Rattus norvegicus: one gene and its partner. The protein of the gene in region 1 binds, or shares a complex with, the protein of each later gene. Links are inferred from orthologs where the notes say so. Each region holds a gene or a part of one and is shown in the gene's direction. Other genes may lie near its edges.

Region 1 (5,949 bases):
TGCGCATGGTCTTCAGTAGCCCAAGCTGGCCTCAAATTCACTATATATCAGTACTTGACTTCCTGCCTCCACCTCAATATTGGGATTACAAGTGTGTGCTATCATGTGCAGTTTATTTGATACTGGGGATCGAACCCAGGTCTCCACATGTGTTGCACAAGCCCTGTACCAAGCTACATCCCTAGCCTGAGATGGGGGTGTTTAAATAGGGTTTTCATACCTCTCTCCCTAATACCCTTCCTGTTCTTCTGAACTCGTCCCACCTCCTGACTAGTCCCAAAACCTCAGCCCCCTTCCTGGGCTTGGACAAGTGAAATCTGTAACACTTCACTCACATTGGCATCTCCTCTGTTTTGATTGACTGAGTAGAGGTGGTGGCCGGGGAAAATCAATCTGCCTCATTTCCCTCCAATTTCTACCCTTCCTGGGATTGGGTGGGGAATGGGTTGACTCTTATGTGATCAGATGGGAGAGGGAATGAATGCTGCTACAGATGCTGCTTCCTTCAACCGTCCCTGCACTGGCAGCCCACTTCTAGTCCAGTTCCCCACTTGCCACTAGGCAGAGTCTGATGACACCAGACCCTCAGGTGCCCTTGCCTCTTGTATCACCTTGGGAGAAATGACATTAAAGAGGCAGGCTAAGTCGGTGGGTGTGGAGACCTGGAGTTAGCTGAACCAGTTATGTTTGAGATTGAGGTGCCAAAGCCGGGGGCTCTGAAAGGGAGATGGGGGCTCAAGTACAAAGCACATCAGCCCCAGAAGTGGGGTGTGGAAATTGGGAAATGAGAAATGAGGACAGGAAATCAGCCCCTCACCGCAGCGAAGCAGCGGGGAGCAGGGCCGGTCAGGTGCTGCCTTTGCCGGGAAGAGCAGGGTGACCTTGGCGAGGTCGCTTTTTTCTTTGAGCCCCAGTTGCCCCATCTGTCAAGTGGGGATGAAAAGACCTGCTCTGACTGGCTCGCAGAGAGCCGTACGGATATGAACATCCTTTGAAAGGTTGAAAGGCGCCATTAATATTCATTTTTGGGGTACCTTGCACGGCTCCGAGACTCGGCTATGCTCTGGGCAATTGCCTGGCTTCAGTTAGCTTCATGCTAGGAGACGCCAAGCCCCCTCCTCCAGAGCCGCGCAGATCCCCGCGCCCCCGCCCCTCCCACCAATCACTCCCACTCATCGCTCAGCGCAGGGTTACCAGCCCAGGGTCTTGGAGAAGGGCGGGAGCGCAAGCACGCTGGCCTGGGGGTCGGGACCAAATCTGACCTGCCCGCGCCGGTTTCTGCTTCACCTCCCGCCCCACCCCCGCCAGCGCCCCGGGATGCCGTCTGGAGCCCGAATGCCCCACCAGGGGGCGCCCATGGGCCCCCCGGGCTCCCCGTACATGGGCAGCCCCGCGGTACGACCCGGCCTGGCCCCCGCGGGCATGGAGCCCGCCCGCAAGCGAGCAGCGCCCCCGCCCGGGCAGAGCCAGGCACAAGGCCAGGGCCAGCCGGTGCCCACCGCCCCAGCGCGGAGCCGCAGGTGAGTGCCCCCTAACATCCCCCCCCCCGCGTGAAAGGGCGTGCAGGGGCGGGCAGGCAGAAGCCTCAGGGACCAGGTGGGTGAGTGGTGGGGATGGGAAGCTAAGGAAAGATGTTAGGGATGTTAGCAGCGACGAAGTCATTGTAGCTTGGATATTCTCTGGGGAGGGCTTAGGGGGCACTGGTCTGGTTCTTTTGTGTGCCCACAGTGAAGAAGGGCTGCGATAGTCGGCTGCCAGTGTCCCTTCTCTGAACGCACCCTTCATTCTTCTGCTTGTCACCTCCTAAATCCTTTCCCCCATTCTTTACCCCAAGTTCTGAGAGATGCTTCAGTCTTTGGGGAGAGGCAGGGCTGGCAATAGACCAAGGGTTGAGTTTTAGCTGTGTGTTTTCTTAAAATGTAGTCCTCTGGTGGCTCCTGGCTACCTCTGGGCCAGTCCAAAGTCCCGGGCTGCGTCAGAGCCCCTCTAGATTTCCGTAGTCCTCAGCCTTGGCAGTGGGCATGAAGAGGCGCTATAACCTCTCTGAGGGAGCAGTTCTGCCCCCAAGCCACCGGAGCAGCTTATTTCCTTGTCTGAGAAGTTGGTGGCACTCCCATGGTCCCTGCTGGCTCTTGGCAAGAGTAAGGCCTCTATGGGCATCAGTATTTATCCAAACACACATGCTTCCTTTTGCACAACAGATGGGTTCTTATACAAGGTGTAATGTCAATTCTACTTCATTATTAAATAGTTTTTACACATCAAGGAAAATCAGAGGCACCCCATAATAAATTCTTTTACAAAGTGAATCATTATCTTGTATAACAAGTCATTCTCTGATTTTTATGTGTAAGTTAAGAGTTTTGTATGGATAATTTATTTGAAATAAATCAATCCTTTCATGAAATGCTTACCCAGCCTAAGAATGGGTTGGTTTTTCTTTAATGAGTTGCTTGCCTGGGCATAGAATGGATTTCTGGATTGAGAGGGGGCAGTGAGTGAGAATGCCACATGGGGGCAGTGTAGAGCTATCGTCTAGGCTGTGTGTTCTCTCTTGGCCAGCCAAGGGGTTTTCTGCCTTGCTTTTGAAACTGAGAATCATCCAATACCAGGTGCTGTCTACCCTGGGTTCAGCCACATTGGTTCCAGTGCTAAGTCACACTCACATAGAACACTCCTGCACACTTCCAGGGTCCTTGTGGTGTGCCCCTTGGTTGGCAGATGGTCCAAGACCACAAGCATCTCCTTCTCCTGCCTTTAAACAGTCCCTTCCAAGCCCAGAGCCACAGGAGTGCCAAGTCCCACCAGCTTCATTCCATGACAGCTCAGGAGCTCCAGGAACTAAGTGGAGGAGTCACCTCTCCCCTTCTTGGAGCTCTGGCTCTCTTGGGCGTGTGTCTCCTGCTTGGCAGGAGAGGGTCCTCAGAAGCTCTCTTCTCTTCCCTCCATCTTCCCCACCTCCAGGCTTTTTGCAAACACTTCTGCAATCCCCATCTTTTGACAGCATCTTCTCTTTCACTAGTTCCTTCTAAGTCTGAGTTTCTCTGGCTCTGAGGACGTGATGAGATATAAGGTGGGGGTTAGGGGGTGCCAAGCAAGAGAAAGGACCAGTCATCCTGCCTTCCAGGGGAGTACCAGCTCCACGTCGCTGCTGTAGCCCTCAGACAGGCAGACAAGCAGGCTGTGGGAACCCCAGCCAGCGGGCGGAGATGTCGGGATAATTTAGCAGGTGGCCTCGTTACTCCCAGATCTGTCGCCATGGTAACCTGGTTTTTTCTTTTAAAAATGTACAGTGCCAAGAGGAGGAAGATGGCTGACAAAATCCTCCCTCAAAGGGTGAGTGCCTTTCACAGCAGCCCCCAGCCAGCCCCCACCCTTTGCTACTCCACCCTCCCCTCCTCCCTTAGGAGCAAAGCTTTGGGCTCAGCGTCACAGCCACTTTCACTTTTTGTTTTAAAAGCTCATTAAGAAGTGAGGTTCCCTTCACGAGAGGGTGGGGCTGGGCTGGGGGAAGGAGCTGGAGAGCCATGGAGGGAGGAGGGGCAGAACAGAGGGCCTGAGGTTAAGGGGGTTGAATACCAGTGGTTCAAAGGCATAGAGGCACTGCACAAAGAAGAGACGGGAAACTGCTAGGTGAAGGGAACGGAAAGTGTAGCAGGAGGAGCAGCAGGTGTGGAGCTCCTGAGGCCACCTACACTACCTCCCAACTCTCTGGGATACCCAGAATCCCTTAGCACTTCTCAGGGACCCAGGGTGTCTTCTGTATGAGTCGGGGTGATGGGATGAAGCTAGGCACTTGCACCTGCTGGGCTGCCAGTTGCTGCTGCTTCCCAGTGATGAGATGCATGAGTTTTCCTGGAGGGAGAAGCAATTTTTATCCACACACAATGAGGCTATATAATAGCGTCCGGGGGACAAGCCCTATCTTCACTCTCAGGACTCCGCAGCCTGAAATCAATTGGACAGCTCCCTCTGTGTCCTTTGTGTCCTGTAGTCACACAACAGGCATGCATTCTGCACTGCAAGATGGACTGGGCCCGGCTTCCACTTTGTTCCTCTTTCAGATTCGGGAGCTGGTCCCTGAGTCCCAGGCTTACATGGACCTCCTAGCATTTGAGAGGAAACTGGATCAAACCATTATGCGGAAGCGGGTGGACATCCAGGAGGCCCTGAAGAGGCCCATGAAGGTGCCTTAGTGTGGGAGTGGGAGTAGGAATAGGGCTCTAAGTGCCCTGTCCAGTAGGAGGAAGCAGGGTGCCCCGGGTTGGTGCACACAGCCCTTGTCCTGTACTACACTTTATTTCTACAGCAAAAGCGAAAGCTGCGCCTTTATATCTCCAATACTTTTAACCCCGCGAAGCCCGATGCCGAAGATTCTGATGGCAGCATTGCCTCCTGGGAGCTGCGGGTGGAGGGGAAGCTCTTGGATGATGTACGTCCTGGCCCAGGTCTCTCCAGGTGTCCTGGGGTGGGTATGGGTTGAGTCAAGGACTGAAGTAAATGTCTGCACTAGGAACTGGGAGTCAGCCTGGGCTGGGGAGGGTGGGCCTGGGGACAGTCTGGGGACAGAGGGCTGCCTCTGAGCATACTGCTTGCCTGCCGCCAACTTGGCCCATTCTGTGTCCGTGGTCCCTGTTCTGCCCCCACAGTCCCTGTCACTTTCCCACAGCCCAGTAAGCAGAAGAGGAAGTTTTCTTCCTTCTTCAAGAGTTTGGTCATTGAGTTGGACAAAGACCTTTATGGCCCAGACAACCACCTTGTTGAGGTAAGACAGATTGCCGCTGCCCGTGAATCACAACCTTCCCATCAGCCCTGGAGCAGCTGCAGATTTGGATTGAGGACCATCCTAAAGCCCTAGGCTCTACCAACCCAGATGAGTCTGTGGGTGACCTAGCTCTTCCCCCTGGACAGTGGCACCGGACACCCACAACCCAGGAGACAGATGGGTTCCAAGTGAAGAGACCAGGGGACTTGAGTGTGCGCTGTACCCTGCTCCTGATGCTGGACTATCAGGTTGGTTTTACTCCGTGCCTGCATGCCACACACAGACCCTACTCTCCTTCCTACTCACTTTCTCTAGGGGCATGCTGCCAAGGACCCTAACCTCCACGCCCCATTCTCTATTTCTCCCCTCAATCTCATTTTCCTGGTAACCTTTTCCCAGCCTCCCCAGTTCAAACTGGACCCCCGCTTGGCCCGGCTGCTGGGGTTGCATACGCAGAGCCGCTCAGCCATTGTCCAGGCACTGTGGCAGTACGTGAAGACCAACAGGCTACAGGACTCCCATGACAAGGAATACATCAATGGAGACAAGTATTTCCAGCAGGTAACATGTCCTTAGCCTCAGGATCTGGGGATCAGGGATGGTATCCTAGCAGAAGCACCTCCCTAAGGTAGCTATCTCCTTTTGCTGAGTTCCTGAATAACAGGAATGGTTAGGGCCATGGCCTTGGAGCCAAGAACAGGGTCTTGTCCAGGCTCTTCCTGGATGATCTATTCAGCTGCACCCCAAGGGAAGCAAATGTGGGGCCCTACTAGGGGAGGGGAGGGCACAGCATCCTGCAATGTAACCTTCTTGGTACTTGGAGCTGGGATCTCTGAGGTGCCGCCAGTCTTGGGTCTAGACTTGGGGTCACTTACTTTGCTATCCCTTCTGCCTCTTGGTCTGCTTCTGAAATGAGGGGTGGTGGGAGGTGTGCCATCACATGTGTTTGGCAGCTAGGAAAAACGACATTGCTGAAAGCTGACCCGACAGGTCTAGCAGAGTAGAGCATTGCTATTAATATGTTTTAAAATAAGCACAGTAGAGGAGTCTGAGGAGAAAGAGTAGCTGGTGTTTATTGAGCATTTACCATGTACCACTTCAGACACTTCCTGCTCTGCAGATTCACCCGGTTCTCATAACCACCCATGAGATGGGGTTGGTAATATCCCTATTCTGGAAGTGAA
Region 2 (5,949 bases), on another chromosome or scaffold:
GGCGGGGCGGGGCCTGCGTCCAGGGACCTCACTCTCACAGCCTCTCTCCTCTAGGTTTGGCCCCAGGACAGATCTACACTTACCCCGCCCGCTGTTGGAGGAAGAAACGGAGACTCAACATCCTGGAGGACCCCAGGCTCCGGCCCTGCGAGTACAAGATCGGTGGGTGGAGCTGTGTCCCCTGCGCTTGCTGTGGCCCCAGTCAAGGCCTTCAACCCCCCCTGCTGCCCGTCTGAACTGTCTGAACTTCGTCTTTATTATCTTGAGTGTCTTCACAGCAGGGTATCTGTCCCTGGATGTCTTGAGTTACTTTCTTTGAGTTCCTGAGCTGCCAGCTGTACCTGCTATGTGGGTCAGGACGAGCAGGTGTATGGAGGACGCGGTGTTATCCATGTCTAGATGTATCAAGTCTGACTGTACGTGTTTCTGAGTGAGCTGGGACACACCCGTGTCTGGCAGTGTTTCTTTCTGTGGGTGCTTGAGGGCTGTCTCACCGTGTATGTGTTAAGAGTTAGCCACAGTTCTCCAGCTGTGGGTCAAGACCCCGCATAACCTATTTACATTCACGATTTGTATCTGTAGCAAAATTACTGTTACAAAGTAGCAACGAAATCATCTTATGGCTGGGGGTGACCACAACATGGGGAACTGTATTAAATTTAGGGTCACACTTTTAGGAAGGTTGAGAGCCACTGAGTTAAGGGTGTCTAGTTGTATTCACTGCTTGAGTGTTTTAGAATGCCTGTTCCTTTCTAGGTGTTTCCAAGAGAGAATATGTATCAGAAAGTGTGTATTTGATTGTGTGTGGGTGGTAGGTCTGTGCGTACCTAGCTTTTTCTGGGCTCTATGTGATTCTGTCAGCGCATCCTGTTAGGGTAGTGTCTGTGAGAGCCTTTCTGGGTTAGGTGTTTCTTCTGGAGTTTTCCAGTGTGTTCTGGAAAGGCAGACATTGGTCTCGTCCTCTGTCCAAATGTGTGTGTGAAGGTTTGCTTGTATCAGGAGTACTGGAAGTGCTGACTGGCTGTGATTTCCGGTGTATGTCAGACTGTGTTTCTCTGTGCAAGTGTGTGACCACATTTGAGTGCTTCTCCTTGGGGTTGTCTCTGAGTGTCCAGGTGTATCACGTGGCCTGCCTGTGTCTTCCTAATTAACGAAGGCCCAGATTTCTCTGAGGCTCTGCCTGTCTCTTCCTGAGTATCTCTGTATCCAAGGACTTAATCGTATCTCTTCTGTGTGTCCAGCTGTACTCAAAGGTTGGCTGTGTTCCTTCGTGTGGCTGGCCATCTATCTGCATGTCCCGCATATGTGTCTGTATGTATCCTATTCAAATGTCTTTCTAACTTTCTTTGGGTGTATCTGAGGGTCTAGGCGCCTTTTCACTGTGCAGGTGTTTATGAGGGTCTGCTATTGTTCCTGAGGGTTTCTGGTGTATGCGGGTCTCGCCCTGTCTTCTTTATCTAGTAGAGCTGAGGGCATGGCTGTGTCTCCCCAGGGTATGGGCATTCTTTCCAGGGCCCGAGTTGAATCCTTATGTCCATTGTTGGTTGAGCGTGGGAGAGGCTGCCCCTGCTACAAGGACCACGCTCCCACCCCCACCTGCCTGCAACCTGGGCACTTTGACCACAGCCTCTTCAACTGATACCCCTTTCCCTGTGGACTGTCCCCAGATTGTGAGGCACCTCTGAAGAAGGAGGGTGGCCTCCCGGAAGGGCCAGTCCTTGAGGCTCTGCTGTGCGCTGAGACTGGAGAGAAGAAAGTGGAGTTGAAGGAGGAGGAGACCATTATGGACTGTCAGGTAGGAGCCCCCTCCCTGGCTGCAGGTGCGCTGTCACCACTATGCCTTCCTGCTCTGAGATGCCCGGCTCCACAGGGCCTTTGGGGACCCTACAGCCCCATTCTCCCAGAACACCTCTGCTTGTAGAAGGCTCCCTGACTTGCTCTCCCACCCCACCTGCAGCACATCAGTGCCCCCACCTTCTTGACCCCCCAATCTCCCTTCTACTGGGCCCAGAAACAGCAGTTGCTGGAGTTTCCGCATGATCTCGAGGTAGAAGACTTGGAGGAAGACATTCCCAGGAGGAAGAACAGGGCCAAAGGAAAGGTATCTTCCAGAAGCTTCTCCCTCCCACCTCCTCCCCAGAGCTATGTGAAGGAGTAGAGGGTTTTGCACCCATTCTTATGGGTGAGGAAATGGAAACTCAGTGGATTATAACAATTTCAAAATTGGAGCTTGTGGATCAGAACTGTCTTGCAGACCTGGGTGTGGCAGCCCACACTTGTAATCCCAGTACCTGGGAGGCTGAGGCAGGAGAATTGCTCCAAGTTTGGGAGAAGTGAATCCCAGGCTATTCTGAACTCCATAAAGAGACCATGTGCAAAAAGAAAAAAAAAATCCTAAACCAAACCAGCCACCCAGACAACAACAGCAACACACACACAAACACACACACAAACATGTATGCACACATACGAACACGTACAAACACGTATGCATAACCACATGTGGATATACACACATACAAACACATGGACAAATATACACTCCACATACACACATAAACACACATATACATGCACACCACACACACAAGTGCACCTGCATATACGAACATATACACACATATACCATGCATATACACCACATATACAGACACATATGCAAATACACATTTACTACATGCACACAATCAAACATACACACACACAACACACACATACACACATACACACACACCCTCCATTATGAGCAGTAAAAAAGTGTTAGAACACACCTTTAATTCCAACACTGGAGAGGCTGAGGCAAGAGGACCTCTGTGAGTTCAAGGCCAACCTGATCTGTATAGCGAGTTCTCGGACAGCAAGGACTGTGTGGAGAGACTCTGTCTCAAAACAACACCAAAAAGAACTATCTAATAGGTGTACTGCGAGAAGTTCAAAGGCTCACAGCTAGAAAATGTGCCTGGTTTTAATGGGGAGACTTCATTATTGCTGTGTGGCTCTGCGATGGCACCCAGAGTCTCATACTCCCATGACACCTGCTCTGTCACTGAGCCACACCCCTAGTACTAAGAAAATTTTAACTTTTTTCTTCAGTTTGAATTTTCAAGTCTAAATGAAGAAACCCACTAAGGCATGGTAGCACATACCCGTAACCCAGAGGCAGGAGGATCACTGCATGTTTAAGGCCAGTCTGATCGACAGAGTGAATTCCAGGTCAGGCAGGGCTACACCATGAGACTCTGTCTAAAGCAACGACAGCAACGACAAGGACAAACTCAAAAGCCCCAGGAATGATGAGCCTTTCCCTGGTTTCCTGGCTTCCTTACTCCTAACCCTCCTCCCTACAGGCGTATGGCATTGGAGGTCTCCGGAAACGCCAGGACAACGCATCCTTGGAGGACCGAGACAAGCCGTACGTCTGTGATAGTGAGTTCTGCCGAGGGGAAAGAGAGAGGGGGTGTGGGACCCAGGGACTCTCCCTTTTGGCCCTTGGCAGAGCAGGGGGGTGTGATCCTGGAGACCCGGGGTGGAGGAGGTGGCCCTGGAGTCTGACAACCACCTGCTCACTTCCCCTCCAGTCTGTGGGAAGAGGTATAAGAACCGGCCAGGGCTTAGCTACCACTACACCCACACCCACCTGGCTGAGGAGGAGGGGGAGGAGCACACTGAGCGCCACGCCCTGCCTTTCCACCGGAAAAACAACCATAAACGTGAGTTGTGAGTTGGAGGGTCAAGGCTGGTGGGTGAGGTGCGAGGGGTGGGGCGGGGGCGGTGGAGACTGGTAGTGTCTGGGGAGGTGGAGGCACAGTTAGACATTTCTGGAAAAAATCTTCACGGTTCCCTCCCCCACCAATCATAGGGATGCTGGCTCTAGGGTTGCCATGACAACCAACCCCCTCTCTCTCTCTCTCTCTCTCTCTCTCTCTCTCTCTGTCTCTCTCTCTCTCTCTCTCTCTCTCTCTCTCTCTCTGTCTCTCTCACTCTTTCACTCACTCCCTTCCCGGGTTTATTTCTGGGTCTGATTTATTGTTTCAATTAGAACCTGGAGTGGGGTGGTAGATGATCCCCTCTCTTCCTAGACCTCCCTTGTCTCCTCTGCTATGCTAGGGTCCAGGGGCAAGGTCCCCAGGGTCCTTGATACCCACTCATGGCTGTTCCATGCCATGACAACTGAACCATGGGGGGAGGGGGCCTAGCTCACCTGTCCCTCAAAGACAGCTTCTACAAATCCACAGGCCTGACCCAGAACCTTCTGTGCTATAACAATGTCCTCCTGATTAGGCGTTGCAGAACTGCGGGCTAAGCGTTGGCCTAGGCAAGCTTACCTGGGGGGTGCAAACACACGATGGTGGCAGCAGCCATGGGTTCTTGCTAAGGTTATGTCTATCCTCACACTTTTACCCAAATAGAGAAAACATACCCAAATAGAATCCTAAGAGTTAGGGTTCTGGTGAGCATTCCTTGTCCCTCCCCCAGCTTTCTTGCTACTTCCCAGTGCCTGGGCCAAGGGTCCGCCCCTGGGGCTGAGGCTGGGGACAGATGGGACCTTGCCTATGGTAAGAGCCCCTTTCTGTCCCCCTACCCCCAGAGTTTTACAAAGAATTGGCCTGGGTCCCCGAGGCACAGAGGAAACACACAGGTAGGGGCACCTCCCTCCTCCCCGACTTCTGCAGTAGTCTTTGACTGGCACGCCTCACCTGTCCTGTGCCCACCGCTGCCTGCTGTCTTTCAGCCAAGAAAGCACCAGATGGCACTGTCATCCCCAATGGCTACTGTGACTTTTGCCTGGGGGGCTCCAAGAAGACTGGATGTCCTGAGGACCTCATCTCCTGTGCGGACTGCGGGCGATCAGGTGAAACTCACTACGTATTTCTGGAAGATCGGAGGCGGGAGGAGGACATCTCAGAATCTGAATTTAGGGAGTGGGAGGCAGGCGAGTAAGGGGCTGTCCCTAGCCTGTCCTAGGGGCTGCCTCTGCTGCAGGGGTTTGTGACAGACTGAGCAGGCTTGCTGGCACAGTGGGAACCAACAGTACAAGGTGCCCTGGCTTTGTGCTTTCCCGGCAAGGAGAGTAGAGAGAAGCTAGGGAGGCATTGTGGGTAGGGGACGGAGGTGTGGGAGCAATTGCACCACCTGGGTGCTGTGAATAGCAGGATTGTGTGCTGTAGAACTGTGGTTAATACAGTGTGGTTTTCCATGGAGGCCTCCTGGGTAGTAAGGCTGGTCACTTGAGCAGCGTGGATGATGGACTGTGGCTGTGATGTGCTGTGGGCAGAGTGCTGTGGCTACTGGCGTCTGGCTCTGAGAGATGTAGTTGTAACCGTTGGGTGCTGTGGGCAGTGGCTACAGGTGCCTTCGCGCCGTGGGAGAATGGCTGAGCCGATTCACACCGCGAGTGTTGTCAGAGGAAGTTCGTTTGCTGGTGCCTGGTGCGGGATGGCCTTTGGTTTTCAGAGAAGCAAGGTGTGGGGACCCTGTTGTGGAACTCAGTTGCCATAGCATCCTGGTTGGCAGAGGTCGGCTGCCACGTTGCTGTGGTTAACAGGAGGGCTGGACGCTCTGCTGTGGGTATTGGAATGTGGCTGCCTAGCGCAATACTTAACAGACTGTGGTGGCCGCGGTGTTGTGGGTGGTAGAACGTGGTTGCCACAGCACTGTGGGTAATGGAATGTGGTTGCCATGGTGTTCTGGGGAGCAGAGTGTGGTTGTCATGGTGGCTGAGTAGGAGACTGTGGTGGCCAACACACGGCTGCTTGCCCGACAGTCGAGCTTCCGGATGTTGGTCTCAGGGTTAGGGTCCCACTGCAGAGCTCACCTTGACCTCTGGGTCGGGGCTGAGGATAGAGCCATTACCTCCCCACGTGTCAGTAGCCACCAGAGGTACAACGACTCCGCTAACGGCCTCCCTGCCCCTCAACCCCCAGGACATCCCTCGTGTTTACAGTTCAC

What was found. The genes of interacting proteins can lie anywhere in the genome.
Region 2: Smarcd3 (region 1) and Dpf1 share a complex: the UniProt entries of both Homo sapiens proteins name them as parts of the neuron-specific chromatin remodeling complex. The link is inferred for Rattus norvegicus from reciprocal best matches to the Homo sapiens genes SMARCD3 and DPF1.

The regions. Positions count from the first base shown.
Region 1 is NC_086022.1:11,465,103-11,471,051, forward strand, and holds part of Smarcd3 (SWI/SNF-related matrix-associated actin-dependent regulator of chromatin subfamily D member 3), read left to right. Parts: intron 1-1,308; coding exon 1,309-1,520; intron 1,521-3,293; coding exon 3,294-3,336; intron 3,337-4,064; coding exon 4,065-4,187; intron 4,188-4,309; coding exon 4,310-4,432; coding exon of another isoform or gene 4,433-4,468; intron 4,469-4,649; coding exon of another isoform or gene 4,650-4,669; coding exon 4,670-4,765; intron 4,766-4,911; coding exon 4,912-5,013; intron 5,014-5,164; coding exon 5,165-5,326; intron 5,327-5,814; exon of another isoform or gene 5,815-5,949. UniProt on the Homo sapiens protein: Involved in transcriptional activation and repression of select genes by chromatin remodeling (alteration of DNA-nucleosome topology).
Region 2 is NC_086019.1:93,735,465-93,741,413, forward strand, and holds part of Dpf1 (zinc finger protein neuro-d4), read left to right. Parts: intron 1-54; coding exon 55-162; intron 163-1,667; coding exon 1,668-1,795; intron 1,796-1,957; coding exon of another isoform or gene 1,958-2,011; coding exon 2,012-2,101; intron 2,102-3,347; coding exon 3,348-3,426; intron 3,427-3,578; coding exon 3,579-3,710; intron 3,711-4,588; coding exon 4,589-4,639; intron 4,640-4,732; coding exon 4,733-4,852; intron 4,853-5,924; coding exon 5,925-5,949. UniProt on the Homo sapiens protein: May have an important role in developing neurons by participating in regulation of cell survival, possibly as a neurospecific transcription factor. Belongs to the neuron-specific chromatin remodeling complex (nBAF complex).